4 linked regions of the Drosophila melanogaster genome follow. The protein of the gene in region 1 interacts with the protein of each later gene in a pairwise test. Each region holds a gene or a part of one and is shown in the gene's direction. Other genes may lie near its edges.

Region 1 (5,155 bases):
AGGAGTTCATCAAGAAGGGCACTCAAACAAAGATCACGGTAAGTGACCTTGCTCATCCAGTTCGCATGAGAACTTCTAATGATGTACGTATTTTAGAGCATCAGTCCTGGTGTAGTGGCCACTGAAATTTTCGAAGCCGGATCCTGGGAGCAACCCACAGGCATGCCCATGCTGCGATCGGAGGATATAGCCGATGCGGTGACCTACTGCATCCAGACGCCCCCAACTGTCCAGATAAAGGAGCTCATAATCAAGCCGGTTGGTGAGGGCTTTTGAAGTGACCACTTCCAAGTGACCAAGTAAGTTATTTGAACAAATACACAAATATCTTTTCAATAGCAGTGTAAACAAATAAAAAATGTACATGTTTAATTAATAGAGAAAAAATACACCCAAGGTCGCTCTTTTATCTCAACATGGAAACCGGGCTCAACTGGTTTTTGCTTACCCCAACGTTCAAGACGCCTTTCTATTAAACCCGTTTGTTCGTCGGGAACATTTTTAATGATGAATAATCCGGTATAAATCTTTATCTACCCATTTTTAATAAGAATATTTGATATCAAAATTTACCTAGACAAACACCCTCGCTATTATTTATCGATTAGGGTGACTCCGAAATATATGTAGATAGGAATTTATTATTCAGGAATTGTTAATGGTCTCTTCAGATCCAAAAAAAATCCAATTAATTCCAATGATACTGCGACATTGGGAATTATCTATTAAGTAGTCAATCCACCCCAGACGATTATGCTTATAATTTTAAAAATGTACCCAAAAGATAAGAGTTAATTCGAAAACAAGTCGCACTGCCGAAAGACATATGCAGATGAGTGCTGTCTGCAGCTGATGGCCAAGGGAGTGTGGTTGATAGTTCCAGCCAAAAGGGTGAACTGTCTCCAGAAGATGAACTCCTCCACTGCCATCAGCAAGCTGGCTTCCATTTTCCCCCTGCGATGTCACCAATGGTGACCCTTTTTGGTACATTTTCTTGAATCGATAAGAGTTTGGGTGGTGCTGATGTTAAGTAAAAACATTATGATAGAGGGAAACTCGGATGATCTGATAACAATACCGTTCTAGATACCATTGCACCAGGAGTACATTGCAGAAGTCTTCCGACAAGAGTTTATCAACAGGGGAACTCAATATAATATGCCTGTTGGAAGTAGTAGGTTGGATGTGTTTATTATAATGAGTTTCCCCCTTAGAGCATCTGCTAACCATTGTAGATACGTAAATAATCAGTGGCATGGAACACCGGCATACACAAGCTGAGAATAGAGGATTGAGCCGGTGCAATATCATATTACACTCACTATCAAGCCGTGGGCGAACTTGTTTAAACCTTTGTTTCTTGATAAAAAAAAATGAACAAGCTTTGTGTGGGCCAACTCAAATAAATAAACAATCGCACTTGAATACAATGAATCGTTTTAGTTAAATAATCTTGCAGGTGTTTGGAAAGAATATAATGAAAACATTATTCTCATTTGTTCGTTTGTTTAACCAAAACTGAAGGTGGGGTCGGTGCAAGTGTGTGGGCTTGGGTTTTAAATCCCCAAAAACAATGACTGTTGCCGAAACAAAAAATTCGACTCAGTTATATTTAGTTGCGACTTCTGGTATGGTATTGTGAAATATTTAATTATTTGTCTTAAGATGTTACTATTGATGATCGGAATTCTACTATATACATGAAACAAATATATTTATATCAAATAATTGGACTGAATTTTATTACATAATATTTATTTTGATAACAATTTAAATTCAAACACGATATAATTTGGTGCTACGTATCGATTCCGACTATCGATTGCATGCAGAGTGTAGTACCTGCACTGACCCGTTCTGCAGACGTTGTTCAACTCTAGCCAGCAGTTGTAGTTCGTGTCGGGATTGTTTTTTAGATTAATATTTCTCAACTTTTAGACCATTGATTGCCGAATTGGTCAACTCTTCCAAATTCCAACAAATTCAGTAGATCCACATTTCACGGCTTTCACCGCCGTCGCGTTTCCTTGCGCCCTCAAAAACAAGCTAATTGAATTACCCACGCACACAGTCGCAGCCCAGCAATCCATCGCCTGCGTCATAAGCTATTTTCGTCGATAATAGATCCAAGATTCCGATCCAGAACATGGACCCCAGTCAACAGACGCCCCAGGAGACGGTGGTGGCCCCCGTGGCCCCGCTGCTGGAGGATCAGCTGGAATTGGACATGAAGCACTGCTTTGAGAACCTGATCGTCATCGACGTGGGTGCGAATCTGACCAACAAGAAGTATAGCCGTGATCTGGATTCCGTGGTGCAGAGAGCCAGAGACGCAGGTTTGTATGCCAGCATCAGATACTACATGTGCAGGCATAATTAATAAGACCCGGGCAGTGTCTTCGTTCTGGGGCGAGGCTGCGAAAACACCCAGACAGCCAGAAGGTCGGGCTATTGGCGAGCAACAAGTGTGCCTGTGTTTTGATATATGTATGCATGTACATATGTGCCCTGGGAGATGGCATTACAAATTCAATGGGAACGTAGCTGGAGATTAAAAACCAAATAACCAAGATGTCAACACAACAATATTTGCATAGGATAAATTTTTAAAGGAAACTATAAACATTTAAATATATGTAAGAGATAAATTCTCTTTACATATTTGATTTGATATTCAACAAAAAATTTGTTTTTTAAATACATTTACTTAAAGGGATACATTACAATGCTGATAAGAGTATCTGATCGAAAGCAAACAGAAGTCACATATTTTCTCTTTTGTACACAAGTCTGTAGCCCAGTGAACGTTGCACTAACTTTCTCCCGCCTTTCTTGTTGCAGGTGTCCAGAAACTAATGGTTCACGGCACTTCGGTCAAATCGAGCAAGGAAGCGCTGCGCCTTTCGCGCATCTATCCCGACATAATCTACTCAACTGCTGGCATTCACCCGCACGACTCCAAGTCCATCGTGGAAGAGCCGGCCACGTGGTTCGATCTGGAGCACATCGCCCAGGCGCAGGAGTGTGTGGCGATTGGCCCCTGCGGCTTGGACTACCAGCGGGACTTCTCCGAACCGGACGCCCAGAAGCAGATCTTCGCCAAGCAGCTGCATCTGGCCATCCGGCTAAATAAACCTCTGCTGATCCACGAGCGGTCGGCTCAGCTCGATTTACTCGAAATACTAGACAAGTAAGAGCCGTAGATTTGGTTTACAAAACTTTAAATTGTTCCCCGCGCAGATTCGAGAATCTTCCGCCTGTGATCATCAGAGGTTTTATGGGCACCGCCGAGGAGGCGCTTAAGTACCTAGACCGGAGGTTCTACATCAGCCTGACGGGCTACCTGTGCAAGGACAAATCGGATACTGGCGTTCGCCGCCTGCTGGAGGACGGCACATTGCCGCTAGACAGACTACTGGTGGAGACGGATGCTCCTTTCATGTACCCAAACACAAGGGCTTCCAAGCTACCGCAACACGTGAAGACTGGTATCACCGAACGCTCATTGTTGTACTTACACAGGTGGGCGAAGTAAAAAGTACCAAAATAGGTCACTCTTCTATTAGTTCAAAATACCTTCCAGATATTGTACCTTCCAACGCAACGAGCCGTGCAGTTTGCCCGCCATTGTAGAGATGATAGCCGCCTTCATGAAGAAAAGCCCGGACGAGGTGGCTTTGGCCACTGCCTTTAATGCCCTGAAACTGTTTGGCTTGTCCTAGAAAATGGTAAAGGAGCCACATGGAACTGAACGACAAAGTGTGCCACCCAGCAGCTTTAAACCCGTAACTCTATAGATTCAACGAGCCTGAGATTCACGATAGACTCATACCTATGTGCCTTAACCACTAATCGAATTCAGGATGAAGCGCTTATCCTGATCCCCACACATACACACATCCACAAATACGACCCCCATTGCATGCGAAAAGTACGTATACGTATATAACTATATATTCACCCCCTGCCGTAAAGGTGCAAACCATCGATCGAAGTTTGCAGGGTCTAGCTTTAAGTTGTTGGAATTTCCGAGCAATTGCTTTATTTACTCGAGTACCCAGAGAAACGGTGCCAAGGTGGTGCCTCGTGAACGTCGACTCCGGATTCGCCCGGGGTCTGCACTTCACGCCTCGAAGCGCGCGCTTCGAACTCGCTCCCGAAGCGATATATGTTAATGTTAAGTGCTGCAGCTTGTCTTTTGTTTGTTTCTTCTGTATTTAGGCTAGAATCAATACTTTTAGTTTGTGTCTCTGTTAGCCTGTAGTCGTACTTTTGTACATATTTATTCTTGTTGCGACGATGACGATGATGATGATGATTATGGGAAACGTAATGTGATCATTTTAAAAGCTAATTAGTTATTTGATATTCAACATACAAACACATTAGTTAGGCTATGAAACATATTGAATATCGTGCGCCTATACAAACTATATATGTATTGTTATATTTACATATACAAAAGCGTTGTACTGAACTGATCGACCCGCGGAGGTTGCATAAAATCCGCTTTGTGCCCATTGTCCGCACACAGACACACACTATTTTCCATTTGAATAAAGCGAATTTGAAACCCAAACGAACAAAAGCCCCTTTTAGACGTCATTACGTGTATTTTTGGTTGGTTAGCACACTTAAAAGCGCTGAATATTACTCAAGTCCTCAAATTGCTCCAGCTGGTGCAAATTGTCCCACCAGAGTTTCAATCGATGCTGCAGAATCAGAGAGAACCAGGGTGTCAGCGGGGCACTAAACTTCGCCACCGCCTCGTCGATCTTATCGCGGCGCAAGTAGCGCACCTCACTGACCTCGTTGCTATTTGGACGCAGCGTCACGTCTTTTTGCAGGAACAGGATGTAGTCTATCTCGTGCTCGCCCCACACGCCGTCGCCCGTGTCTGCGTAGTGGATGCGGGTCAGGTAGCGAAAGTCCTGTGGCTGCAGTTCCTCTGTGGGAATGCCCAGTTCGTAGTTGAGACGTCGTTGAGCGGCCACACGGATGCCCTGTGCGTTGCGCTCCTGACGTTCCTGTTCGATTTCGTAAAGCGGATGGCTGCAGCACGCGTTGGTGTAGGTGTTTGGGAAGGTTATCTAAGGATACAGAGGATTATGGACCTTGTAATAAGGGGATTACCCTTTAATTTCACCTTGTGAGA
Region 2 (3,533 bases), on another chromosome or scaffold:
CGGGCAACAACAAATTAAAAAGGACAAAAAAAAAATAGAGCACAGATCAAACAAACTTTTGGAACGCTAACAATTCTATATTTCGTCAAAATACAAATATAGTACAAAAAACTATCGACCAAGCCTACTTGCTAATTGGGAATCGAGGCGGCAGGAGCAGCCAGTGGCAGGACCTCTAGCTTATGCGAATCACTGTGATCGCTGACGAAGTGCAGCACTTCGAAGCCCACCTCTACCATGATCAGGATTATGATCATCCACTCGAGCCGGATATGATGGGCATCGTTCAGATTGTGGGACACCAGCTCGGCCAGTTCCACGCAGTGGTTGATCTTCTCGTTCATCACCTTGGTGCGCCGTGAGATGCTGAAGTAGGAGCACACCTGCAGGTAGAGTGCCTCCAGTTCCTCGCGGTCCCAGTAGAAATCGGGTGCATCCAGCAGATCCGACGACAGGTTGATCACATGACGCAGGGCAAATAATTCACCGGTTTTTCGCAGCATGGCCGCCCGCGAGATTCTTAATCGGCGACCACGCTTTAGATCCTCGGTGAGATGCTCTATGGAGTCTATGTAGCGGTCCAGTGTCGCCTCCCACATGCCCAGCTTTATTGACTGTGCCATCGCATTGGAGAAGGTGTACTTATACAGGAAACTATCCGTATCGGCGGTAACAAAGAACTTGCCATTCTGGAAGAATGCCCGTGACGTGACATTGAAGTCGCTGCTCTCCGCCACCAGATCGCCCTCCACATCCACCGCCGTCGATGGAATGTAGGTGTAGGGCATCACCTCGCTCTCCCCGTGAACCAGGGCACTCACATACGATTCCCTTTCGAAGGCGCGCAGGAAACTTAGCACATTGTTCGTCTCGATGTCGCTGCAGTTCCAAAAGACCACCGAGCCCTCGCGGAAGAAGAATATCTCCCGCGGCTGCTGACCCGTCGGATATTTGGCCGCCACAAAGAGCACATTCTGCTCCACGTCCAGATTGTCTGTGGAGAAGAAACGCTTCGTCTCGTACAGGTTCTGTTCGCGGAGGGCTATCTGCAGATCCTCCAGATTGTACTCCTCGGCGGTCGTATAACCACGGGTGTTGAGAAACCCCAAAGCGGACAGTTCATCGATGGCCAAGCGCTTCTTTCGAATGATCCTGGTGCGAATGGGCGATAGTATCGACTCCAAGCGCTCCTCGGCTAGCGGCAATGGCTTTACCCGCGGTTGCGTTTGAGTTCTAGGTACAGAAGCTGCTTGAGCTGGCGCCGCAGCCGATGAGGTGGCTTCACTGGCCAACCATCGGCGGCGGTCCATCATCCACTGCGTCTGCGTCTGCTGGCGCGGAATTCGAAGTCCTCCAAGGACCATCTGCCCGAATCTCAGGCGTGCAAAGTTCATGGCTTTTGATTTATGCTCCAGCAGCAATTAGTGGCCCATTTCTGGGAGTTGAGATCGGTTTGGTAACGAATCGTATCTGGTGGCTATATAATATAGTAGCCGGCCTCCGATTGCCTTTTGTTGTGATTATCGAATCCGATAGGCACTCAGTGGTGAACTCGGTTCTTCGGCCGTTAGTTATTTCTAAGCTATGAATTTTCATTATTGCTTGGTATTTATACTACAAATTTGGTAGTTGAAATTCTGTTATTTGCTTTTTGAAATGCTGTAACGAGTCTTCAACTCATACTACATAAACTTCTGCCAATAGAGACAAATTACTGAACCTGGATACAAAATAGCCAAAATGTGAGAACTGAATTTAAGCGGCCAACCGCCTGCACTGCTCCGATAACGATAGCCATCAGCTGTTTTCATCGCTCCACTTAACCATTTTCTTCCCCATTTGGGGCAAAACAAAACGCAGTAACTACCCCACATTCAGCACGTGCGGCGCCAGAATTCAGGACGCACTGCAGCGGGCGGCAAGAGCAGAAAGCAACGCGGATGTGCAACACCGCTTAGTAGCAACATAAAATGAACGCATTGCGCAACATCTTCACATCGCGAACTCTCAACTATTTGCGCCAGAATGGACAAAACGCGATCCTCAACGCCACCCAGCAGCAACAAGCGGTGGACGCCGTGCCGCTAACCAACGATGCCGAGCAGCACCTAAAATCGTCGCGTCCAGCACCGCTTTCCATACCGCGCTCCATACTCGATGCGTGCCATTTCACGGCCAAGCAGTTTGACCTGGGAGGCTCCACGTCCGGAAACCAGGCGAATGGCTCTCTGTCGCCGACGACACTGAAGCGCTTCCGACGCATGCAACGCCGCATGGAGCTGGTGTACCGCTGCAAGCTGTGCAACACCCGCAACACGAAGACCATCAGCGAAGAGGCCTACTACAGCGGCGTGGTGATCCTACAGTGCGACGGCTGTGCCGTCGACCATCTGATCAAGGACAATCTGGGACTGTTCACCGGCAGCGATGGCGATAGCAGCATTAGCTCTGGAATCAGTACCAGCAAGAATATCGACCAGGTGCTGGCCGACCGGCATGCCCGCGTCCGGGTGATCAAGGTGAACGAGCGCGGCGAGCTGATTTAGGAACTCTAGTCAAAGGGGCATCAGTAGAGGTGAGAACCTGGTGCCGTCAACCTGCGAATCGTGTCTGAGGAGGACACACTCGACACGGGGTGGCACATTGAACCCAAGCAACCAAGCACCCAAGTACCCAACTGCAAACCGGAATCCCACATTCTGTTTCCGAGCTCAGACGGCTGTATATAATAATTGTACTGTAATTGTTGATTGTTTCGGGCCGTGAGTAATGCCTAAAAAAGTGATTAAAGGAACGACCAGTTCAAAAGCAAAAAACAAACATTGTATATGGCTAAATCTGTTATTCCGCTGTAGACTATCTAATCAGGGTGCACAGAAAGAAAAATGTCTCATTGTTGATATAAATGTTAAAATACATATGTATATGTACAATCATCAAGTTTTGGCTACAAGCCATCAATTTTTGTCAATATACGCCGTGCCTATCTTATATTGACCAGGTTTTTTTTTCTGTGTACGCACACGCATATATACTAGACGTGCCCAGTCAAAAGTGGACTCATTTATTTATCTGGAGAGCCCTAGAAGCCGGTAGAAGCCGAAGGGGCTCGGTGGCCGCTCGCTAATTGATCGGATCGATCAAAACACAGCCGGAGTGCTAATTATCGCAACAATAAAAATTGGCACGCTGCCGGCCTGGCTACGCAATGGTGAAATGTGCCGGATTGGTAGGTATAGATACGGCTTTGGGGCTAGACACTAATGCATACCATATATAAATACATATAAGTATGAAAAACACGCCCCTGTCGAGTGATCTTTTCTGCGTCGTAAGGGGCCGCCGAATCCCTAAGAGATATGCCCCCAAATTGGCTAACAACAACGGATTTTGTGCGCTGATGGCATGTGGACGGAAGATAGTAAGCCCACGGAGTCTGTAGTTATTGCCAAGTGGTTCTACCAACTGTTACATCCATCTCTTGACATCTAAATTAATTAACTTCATTTGAAACTTCATTAAGATCTATCCCA
Region 3 (4,317 bases), on another chromosome or scaffold:
ACATGGGGAGCCGCCGGAGCAGCGTGCATCTCCACCTGCGCGGCGGCCATCGGGGAGCTCAGCAGTTGGTTATAAATAAACAAATAAATAAATAAAGCGTAAACATATTGGATTGGATGGCTGGATCCGAGCTGGAACTGGATCTCGAACTAGAACTGGAGCCGGAACCAGTGTTGCAGATGCTGCCAGATCAGTCGGATTAAGTGATTTCAATTGGATACCCTTAAATAGAAAAGGATTAACCTACAGCTTTAAGTCAAATTCTAAGATCTATGTTCACTAGCTTCATCATCAGACATCAAATGAACTTAAATCCGCAACCGAAACTAATCTAACAAGCTTTGTTCTTAACTCCGCAGCAGTCCGGCATCTCTACACTTGCAGCGAAACAGCTGACTGGCTTCATTTTGTTTGTTTCCAATTGTGAATTTAACGGGACAGCGATTGTCAATTTTGAAAATTGGAAAAATGCTCGAGGCGCGTTTGAGTCAGACTTTGCTGCTGAAGAAGATCGTCGATGCACTAAAGGAAATCATCGCCCAGGGAACGCTGGACTGCAGTGAAAATGGTCTGGAGGTGAAGAGAATAACCCTCCATCTGTCATTTTGTTTCGAATTCCCATAAAAGCTGTTAAGTAGTTCCATTGAGACTTGGGACTGAAAATGAAAAGTTGAGATAAGAAATAAAGCTTTTACAACTCTATATTCCAGCTGCAATCGATGGACAACTCCCACGTTTCGCTGGTGGCCCTAAGTCTGGCTTCGGATTGTTTTGAAAAGTTTCACTGCGATCGCAATGTCTCGCTGGGCTTGGATCTGAAATCCCTGGGCAAGGTGCTTAAGTGCGCCAATAGCGACGATGCGGTCACCATTAAGGCCGTTGACAGACCGGAGAAGATTACGCTCAGCTTCGAGTCGGATGGCAAGGAGCGCACGGCGGACTACGAGCTGAAGCTCCTCAATCTGGACCAGGATCACATGGAGATTCCGAAAAAGGACTACACCTGCTTCATCCAGTTGCCGTCGTCAGAGTTCGCGCGCATTTGCCGGGACATGAGCATGTTCGACGAGTCCCTGACGATCGCCTGCTCCTCGAAGGGCATCAGGTTCTTGGCCAAGGGAGATCTGGGCACGGCCAACATTCAGCTGAGTGCGGGCACCGCCATGGACGTGAGCATTGAGGTGCAGGAGCCCGTGACCCAGTCCTTCGCCGGTCGCTACCTCAACACCTTCACCAAGGCCACTCCGCTGGCAGATCGCGTCAAGCTCTACCTGTCCGACGAGCGGCCACTCCTGGTGGAGTATCCCATCGAGGATTACGGCCACATTCGATACTACCTTGCACCCAAGGTGAATGACCCCGATTTCTAGCTGAAGAACTACTCAACTCAGTTATTGCATAAATTCGAGCGCAATTTAAAGCATAAGGAAAGGGGATAAACGATATTTTTAGGCAACAAATACCAAAAATCATTTTTTTTAAAGCATAGTATAAAAATATAACTTGTAATAAAAACTATTTAATTGTAATTAAAAAAACATTTTACAAATTCAAATTTATATACGAAAAAACTAATTTTAAACCTTGTTATTAATTATTATTAAGTTTTTAAGGTTATCTTAATGTAGATCTCACATTTTCTATTCAGAATACTTTTGTTTTTTCATGTTGAAGCTACAAAAGAAATTAGTAAGCTATTAATATGATACAAGAACGGTTAAATAGATGCTTATAATTATTGTTTTTTTTTATGTTTTTTTTTACATTCATTAAATTCAAATTAGTTTAAAAATAATTGAAAAACAGATAAAATTAAAATTAAACAAGTAAAAATATTGTATTTTAAACTGACCAGTGATGCCGGACCTTTTGATGGCCAGTGTTGTTAGGCGCAGACTGGTCACCCTAAGTTACTGCACGTATGTGGGAACAGCTGACAACCCTGGCCAAACGCAAATGCGGAGCTAAACAAAAACCGAAAAACTTAAAAACCGGCATAAAATCCCACGCAAGTACAAGTGAACAATGGACACCGAGGAAGTGAAGCGCGGCCGCGGACGAGGGCGTGGCACCAGGGCTCGCGGGCGCGGACGTGGCCGAGGACGCGGTCGTGGCAAGAAAATCGACGACAGCAGCATCGCCGACGCCGCAGCCCTGGCGGCCAGCAGCTGTGCAGCCCTGGAGGACAGTCCGGGAAGACTGGACGCCTCCGAAGATTCGGTCATGCAGGAGCTCGACAAGGACGGCGAACTGGAAACGCCCGGCGCTCTGGAGGAGCCCCTGCCGCACGGTGCGCTAGGAGCGGTCGCCGCCAGCGGGAACATGACTCCAGCGACGCAACAGCCACAGGTCCTGCAGCAAGTGCCACCGCCCGTGATGAGCCAAACAAGTGAGTCTCCTCCCCTATTGAATGGTTGTCCAAGATAGTTAAATTGATTAACATCTTGGCTTGACCAATTCCTTGGTATCCAAACTTGAAGCATTGAACAAAGCTATCTCGCTATCTCTCGCCCGCGCAGTCGACATGGAGGCGGACATATCGCAACTGGAGGCGCCCACTTTCACCACGCTTTCGCGCGGACCGCCGGAGCCGATGCTGCGCCTTAAGTGGAACCACAAGGTGAGCCTGATCGGCGAGAAGGTGCTGAACCCGATGATCCACTGCTGCGATCAGTGCGACAAGCCGATCCTCGTCTACGGCCGCATGATACCCTGCAAGCATGTATTTTGCCTCAAGTGCGCCCGCGCCGAGCCCATCAAGAGTTGTCCCCGCTGCACGGACAAGGTGTTGCGCGTGGAGCAGAGTGGCCTGGGCACCGTGTTCATGTGCACGCACGGCGGCAGTCGCTACGGCAGCTCCGGCTGCCGTAGAACATACCTTTCGCAACGCGACCTGCAGGCGCACATCAATCACAGACATGTGGCGCCGCAGCCGCCACCGTTGCAGCCACAGCCGCAGCTGTCAGCCATGGCGGAGCAGCCAAAAATGACGGATCTGGGCGGCGTCGGTCTGGGCCTGGAGTTGCACAAGCAGCGCAAGGCGAGTGGTAGCTATGGCTCCTAAACTAAGCTGTCCTGTCTATAAAAAAACAACCGCTTGCCCCTTGCAGCTCTCCGAGTCGTCTGTCCCCATATCCGTTTCCGCCTCCATTGCGTCCCGTCCCGTCCTGTCGCGGCTGCCACTGACCGGCGGTGTCGGTAACATCGGTAGTATTGGTAGTATACCGCCACCAGGATCCGCCGCCGCCGCCCAAAACGCCATCCACGGCGGCCACTCGACGCTCACGCTGGCCAATTTGACCAGGATCAACAATGCCAATGCGCAGGAATGTCACCAGGGCAAGGCCTCGCTGCACCACACGCTCAAGAAGGGCACGCCCCACCAGTCCGAGTCGGTGGCGGATGCCTCCTACTACAGCAGCGTGCTCGCCTCCTTTGGCAGTGCGGCCGGGAATCCGGGTTCTGGGCCACCCGGCGGTGGGGCAACAGCAGCAGCACAGCCCGCCAATCCGAGTGGCAGCCATTCCGCTGTTGGCCCAGGTGCCCTGATTGGAGGCTCCACCGACGCGCCAACTGGTGGCTCGAGTGGCAACTGGCAGCAGTCGCAATACTACAGATAGGGGGACGAAAGCGAGGGGCTAGTAACCAGGGTAGACGCTTTAACGCAGGCACGCAGGCTTTTAATTAAGTGAACAAGTGTATGTTAAGCTGAACTGAACACTATTAAAGATATTTTACGGGGTTAGGCCAACCCGAACCAAAAAATAAATGCTACTCCGGTTTTAAAGCTTGGGCTAAACTTAATTCTTAATGTAGTAGTGAAGTGGTTATCGTGGCGAACAAATCAGGATAACAATTTTATGAATACCTTTGCGGTTCTCAAGCTGAACGAAATTCAAAAATCCCGCCCGATTGGCGGCCAATCGATGACGGTACGGTTTCCACTCGAGCTGAATGAAATTCAAAAAGCCCGCTCGATTGGCCGCCTATCGATGACGATACGCTCCAGCTGGTTGCTGTTCCAGCGAAATACAAAAGGTAAACAAATGCGACTTGGAGCACAGACTTCGAATGGAGCATTAGCATAAACACAACAGGCCGCAGTGCCGGAGTCAAGTGGCAGGGCCCAGGGTGAACACAACCACATCCAGTATCTGATGAGCACAGCGTAGAACTTAGGAAATCGAGGCCACAAGCAGAAGCAGCAGGAGAAGCAGCGGTTGTGAAAGAAGTTGGCGAGCAAAAGTGAAAGTTGCGCCAGAAAAATGATGAAAATTGTACTCATCAGCGGCAAGCGAAAGTGCGGCAAGGATTACA
Region 4 (3,793 bases), on another chromosome or scaffold:
CTACCTCTGGCTGGTAACTGTCACAAAGAGGATCTTCAAGATTTTTCCGGACAAAATATGTGTCATTTAGTCAATTTGGGATTTTAGGTCCTAATTATACAAAGGCTACCGATCCGATAATGTATTCCATCTTATCATATATGTAATGAACATTTGGATTTTTCCAATTGTGGTAGCTAAAAGCTTTTAAGAAGGGTGGAATTTCTAAAAATTTGATAATTAATAATCAATTGACACGTTTGATTGGAGCTTATGTTTTTTCACAGATAATCCGTCGAAAATAGTATAAAAATAGTAGTTATAGCCACTCATAATCATATACGAAGCAAATGCTGAGTATTATTATTTCCTGCTAATGATTTTGTTAATATTAATGTCAAGAACCAACTTTCGTTACATAACTTATTGGGGGCTCACAAATAACTATTAAGTAATTTTAATTAAAAATATAACCACTTGTTCTCAAGCACTTTACACGTACAATAAACTCTAAAAAAAACCATTAGTAATGTGCCAAGCTGCTGTGGTTATCAGAATACTAAACAAAACTATTAATAAACATACAGAATGAGGCTTTTATCAGAGGGATTTTGTAACCGATCTAAACCACAAGTTTTCGCATCGTGCGTAATTAAGAACCTATTTTTTTTTTTATTATCTTTTAGGTGGTTGAGGACAGTCCGCCGCGCCTGCCGGAGGGAACATTTTCGCCGGAATTCGAGGACTTCATCGCCGTCTGCCTGCAGAAGGAGTATATGGCAAGGCCCAACTACGAGCAGCTGCTCAAGCACAGCTTCATCGTGGAGCACCTGCAGCGCAACACGGACATCTCGGAGTTCGTGGCCAGGATACTGGATCTGCCCGACGCGCAGCCGGCGCAGTAGGTTAATGGCCGGGTAGCAGGTTAATGGTTAACCCATGGCGCCGCCCCCTTAACCCCTTAAGCCGTGCCCGTGCCCGTGTAAATTGCCGCCGTCTTCTTCTAGCATGCATTTCGTACATGTTGTGTGTGTGTCCCCCGTCTGTGTGACAGCAAAAGGAATAAAACTTTATTTGAATGGAGTCCAAGGAAACCCCAAAAACAAACCCAACAGCAATCAGCAATAAGCGTCAGCTAATCTAAAGATACAAAATGGAAAGTGCATAATTATTAATTTAAGTGAGAGAAGCAACAGCAACATAACCGTTACTAGCAAACCTGCAATATGCATAATGCAACAATCGCCTTGCAACGCTCAAAAATGGATAACCGAACCGTGCCTCCCAGCTGGCGATGCTGCTGATGTCTTGAAGCATAATACCATTTTAATATATATTTTTAAATGAGAATAGCTTAGTCAACGAAAAACAAGAACAGAAGCAAGCAAAGCATTGAATGTAAAAACGTACTAAACTTAAATGATAATTTGTGAACTTTTGAACACCAAAATAGTCGAAAAGAAAGTGTTTATAATTATAATTGTTTAACAAATATATATTACGTAAAATAGCTAAATCCTGTTGTATTTGTATGAGAAATATTCGTTGCAAATGGTGAAAATTCTCAATGTGATTGGTATCACAATCTTAAGAATTTTGTTATTGCCTAAATGGGCAAATAAAACCAAATACTCCAGCTGAAATTCAAAAATTGCGGCCGATTTCAGTGCATCATGAGTGCAACGATGCACCAAATGGAAATCGTAGATATGTATGTACATATATAGATATATGGTATCGATAGCTTTTCATCTGGTATCAGGGTTCCATTGACGTGGAGAACCTTTGCGATTTGCAAGGCATTCCCGCACTACGTGAGTTTCCTATCGATATCGAAGAACTCGCAGATACGCAGAGTATTTACTTTATACAGCTAATGGAGTGGTTAAATTTCTGGAAAATAAACCCCTTTCATGGAATTTCACCCACACCCATGCTTTTCCGGCGCCTTGTGATAAGCTCGCATGGAGGAGTTACTTGCTCCGATATTTCTGGAGCCCATCCCTAGCGGCTGGCCATAAAACCCTGATAATCTTCTGGTCGACTGGCTGAACCATCCAGTGAACCATCCATTGGCCCACGATTAGATTGCTAAAGAAATGGCCAGTGCACGGAACCTATTGTTGCTATCCTCGTCGCGTTTGCACGGCCATGGATACTTGGAGCATGCGCGCGGCCAGCTGGAGGATCTCTTCAAGAGGTAGGTGACTTACCATTTGAGATATGTACATTATTATTCTTTTACAACAAAGTGAATTCTTTCATTGGTAAATTGAACAAACCCTCCGATTCCTTGCAGTGCCAATGTGAAGACCGTGCTCTTTGTGCCCTACGCTCTGCGGGATCACGACAAGTACACTGCCACCGTGCGCGATGCACTGCAGCCGTGGGGATTCAATGTGGAGGGACTGCACACGAAGCCGGATCGCGAGCAGGCATTGCGGGAGGCACAGGCCATCTTTGTGGGCGGCGGCAACACCTTTGTGCTGCTGCGTTCGCTCTACGAGATGAAGTTGCTCGATCCGATTAGGGAACTGGTGCTCCAGCGTGGATTGCCTTACGTGGGCAGCAGTGCGGGCACAAATGTGGCAACTCGATCCATTCACACCACCAACGACATGCCGGTGGCCTATCCGCCGAGCTTTGAGGCACTCGCCCTCGTTCCCTTCAACATCAATCCGCACTATCTGGATCCGGAGGCGGGTAGTCGGCACAAGGGCGAGACGCGAGACGAGCGGCTGGAGGAGTTCGTCGCATACCATGGACTGCCCGTGCTGGGTCTTCGCGAGGGCACCAGTGTCCGGGTTCAGGGCGAGAAGGCCATCCTCCTGGGCGATCGCAATGCCAAGCTGTTCAAGGCGTAAGTACACACTTCCAATCGGACAAATTGGGTTTCATGGTTTCTTACATTCAAATAACTTTAATGTTATTTATACAATTTAAATGTAATTTATTTTCGTTTATTTTTCAGTGACGGTGGCACCGAGGAGCTAGCACCCCTAGCGGATCTCACCTTCCTGCTGCAGAAATAACCAAGCAAAACGATCGAATTAAAGAGAACATTGATGTTTATTGTACATATGCACATTCATAATTTGTTTTATTCTGCAATAACAACAATTCCTACACGTAAGCAGTACACATACAGTAGTTGTACACTATGACTAAATGTATAAAAAGTTTGGATAGAGGTATAACCCCTGACGAGTGTACATATATCTAATAAATTTTGTAATAAATTAATCGGATTTCCCCTCGTAAATCGTAATGATAAGAATTTGACTGGCAGACTTCTTATTCGATGCTAAAACTGATGTGCTGGCAAAATGATCAAATGGATAACATGGATACACTAACAATGGACATCGGCTAAATGAAACTGGCAAGCACTTAAACAATATATATATTTTTTTTTATTTACAATGGGCTTTTTCATTGCCACAAAAGCCCTGATAGCTAGCAATACTTTTGGATTGTTATTTTGTAGGCAAAGTTTCGATAGAATTATGGTTTATGTTTTCAGGCAGCCGATGCTAAGACTTAAGCTCTAACTTTTAAAGAGGAACACGGTCAAAGTAAGCACTCCCCGATTTAGACCAGTTTTTTAACAGTAATTCCTTTTTGTTTTTTGTTTTTTTTTTTGGCACACCGTCTTTGAGAGAGCCCATTTATACAGGGATTGTAACACTTTGAGGCAAGGCGGCATCTGGTTATTTGTCGTACAGCCAAATCGTTCGTTTCACTTAGATTAGTTTAGTTGTATAACACTTAGCTTAACTAGTCGTTTAAATAGGAGTCAATGGTGCAATGCTGC

What was found.
Region 2: the proteins of CG3308 (region 1) and CG8206 interact in a two-hybrid assay, tested with the Drosophila melanogaster proteins (one large-scale study listed by BioGRID).
Region 3: the proteins of CG3308 (region 1) and Hakai interact in a two-hybrid assay, tested with the Drosophila melanogaster proteins (one large-scale study listed by BioGRID).
Region 4: the proteins of CG3308 (region 1) and CG2200 interact in a two-hybrid assay, tested with the Drosophila melanogaster proteins (one large-scale study listed by BioGRID).

Annotation. Positions count from the first base shown.
Region 1 is NT_033777.3:21,270,522-21,275,676, reverse strand, and holds CG3308 (uncharacterized protein), read left to right. Parts: upstream 1-1,859; 5' UTR 1,860-2,146; coding exon 2,147-2,336; intron 2,337-2,841; coding exon 2,842-3,190; intron 3,191-3,240; coding exon 3,241-3,522; intron 3,523-3,583; coding exon 3,584-3,722; 3' UTR 3,723-4,599; downstream 4,600-5,155. Other genes in the region: CG3301 (uncharacterized protein), read left to right, coding at 1-38, 97-276; Idi (Isopentenyl-diphosphate delta isomerase), read right to left, coding at 4,635-5,090, 5,147-5,155.
Region 2 is NC_004354.4:15,737,433-15,740,965, forward strand, and holds CG8206 (uncharacterized protein), read left to right. Parts: upstream 1-1,797; 5' UTR 1,798-1,970; coding exon 1,971-2,546; 3' UTR 2,547-2,985; downstream 2,986-3,533. Other genes in the region: CG11679 (uncharacterized protein), read right to left, coding at 132-1,394.
Region 3 is NT_033779.5:19,580,079-19,584,395, reverse strand, and holds Hakai (hakai), read left to right. Parts: upstream 1-1,921; 5' UTR 1,922-2,025; coding exon 2,026-2,389; intron 2,390-2,492; coding exon 2,493-3,040; coding exon of another isoform or gene 3,041-3,064; exon of another isoform or gene 3,065-3,110; coding exon 3,111-3,620; 3' UTR 3,621-3,784; downstream 3,785-4,317. Other genes in the region: CG10366 (uncharacterized protein), read right to left, coding at 1-50; PCNA2 (proliferating cell nuclear antigen 2), read left to right, coding at 469-576, 711-1,370; Pmvk (phosphomevalonate kinase), read left to right, coding at 4,266-4,317.
Region 4 is NC_004354.4:13,092,495-13,096,287, forward strand, and holds CG2200 (uncharacterized protein), read left to right. Parts: upstream 1-1,804; 5' UTR 1,805-2,078; coding exon 2,079-2,179; intron 2,180-2,278; coding exon 2,279-2,839; intron 2,840-2,950; coding exon 2,951-3,011; 3' UTR 3,012-3,238; downstream 3,239-3,793. Other genes in the region: lic (licorne), read left to right, coding at 666-884. UniProt on the Drosophila melanogaster protein: Hydrolyzes dipeptides containing N-terminal aspartate residues.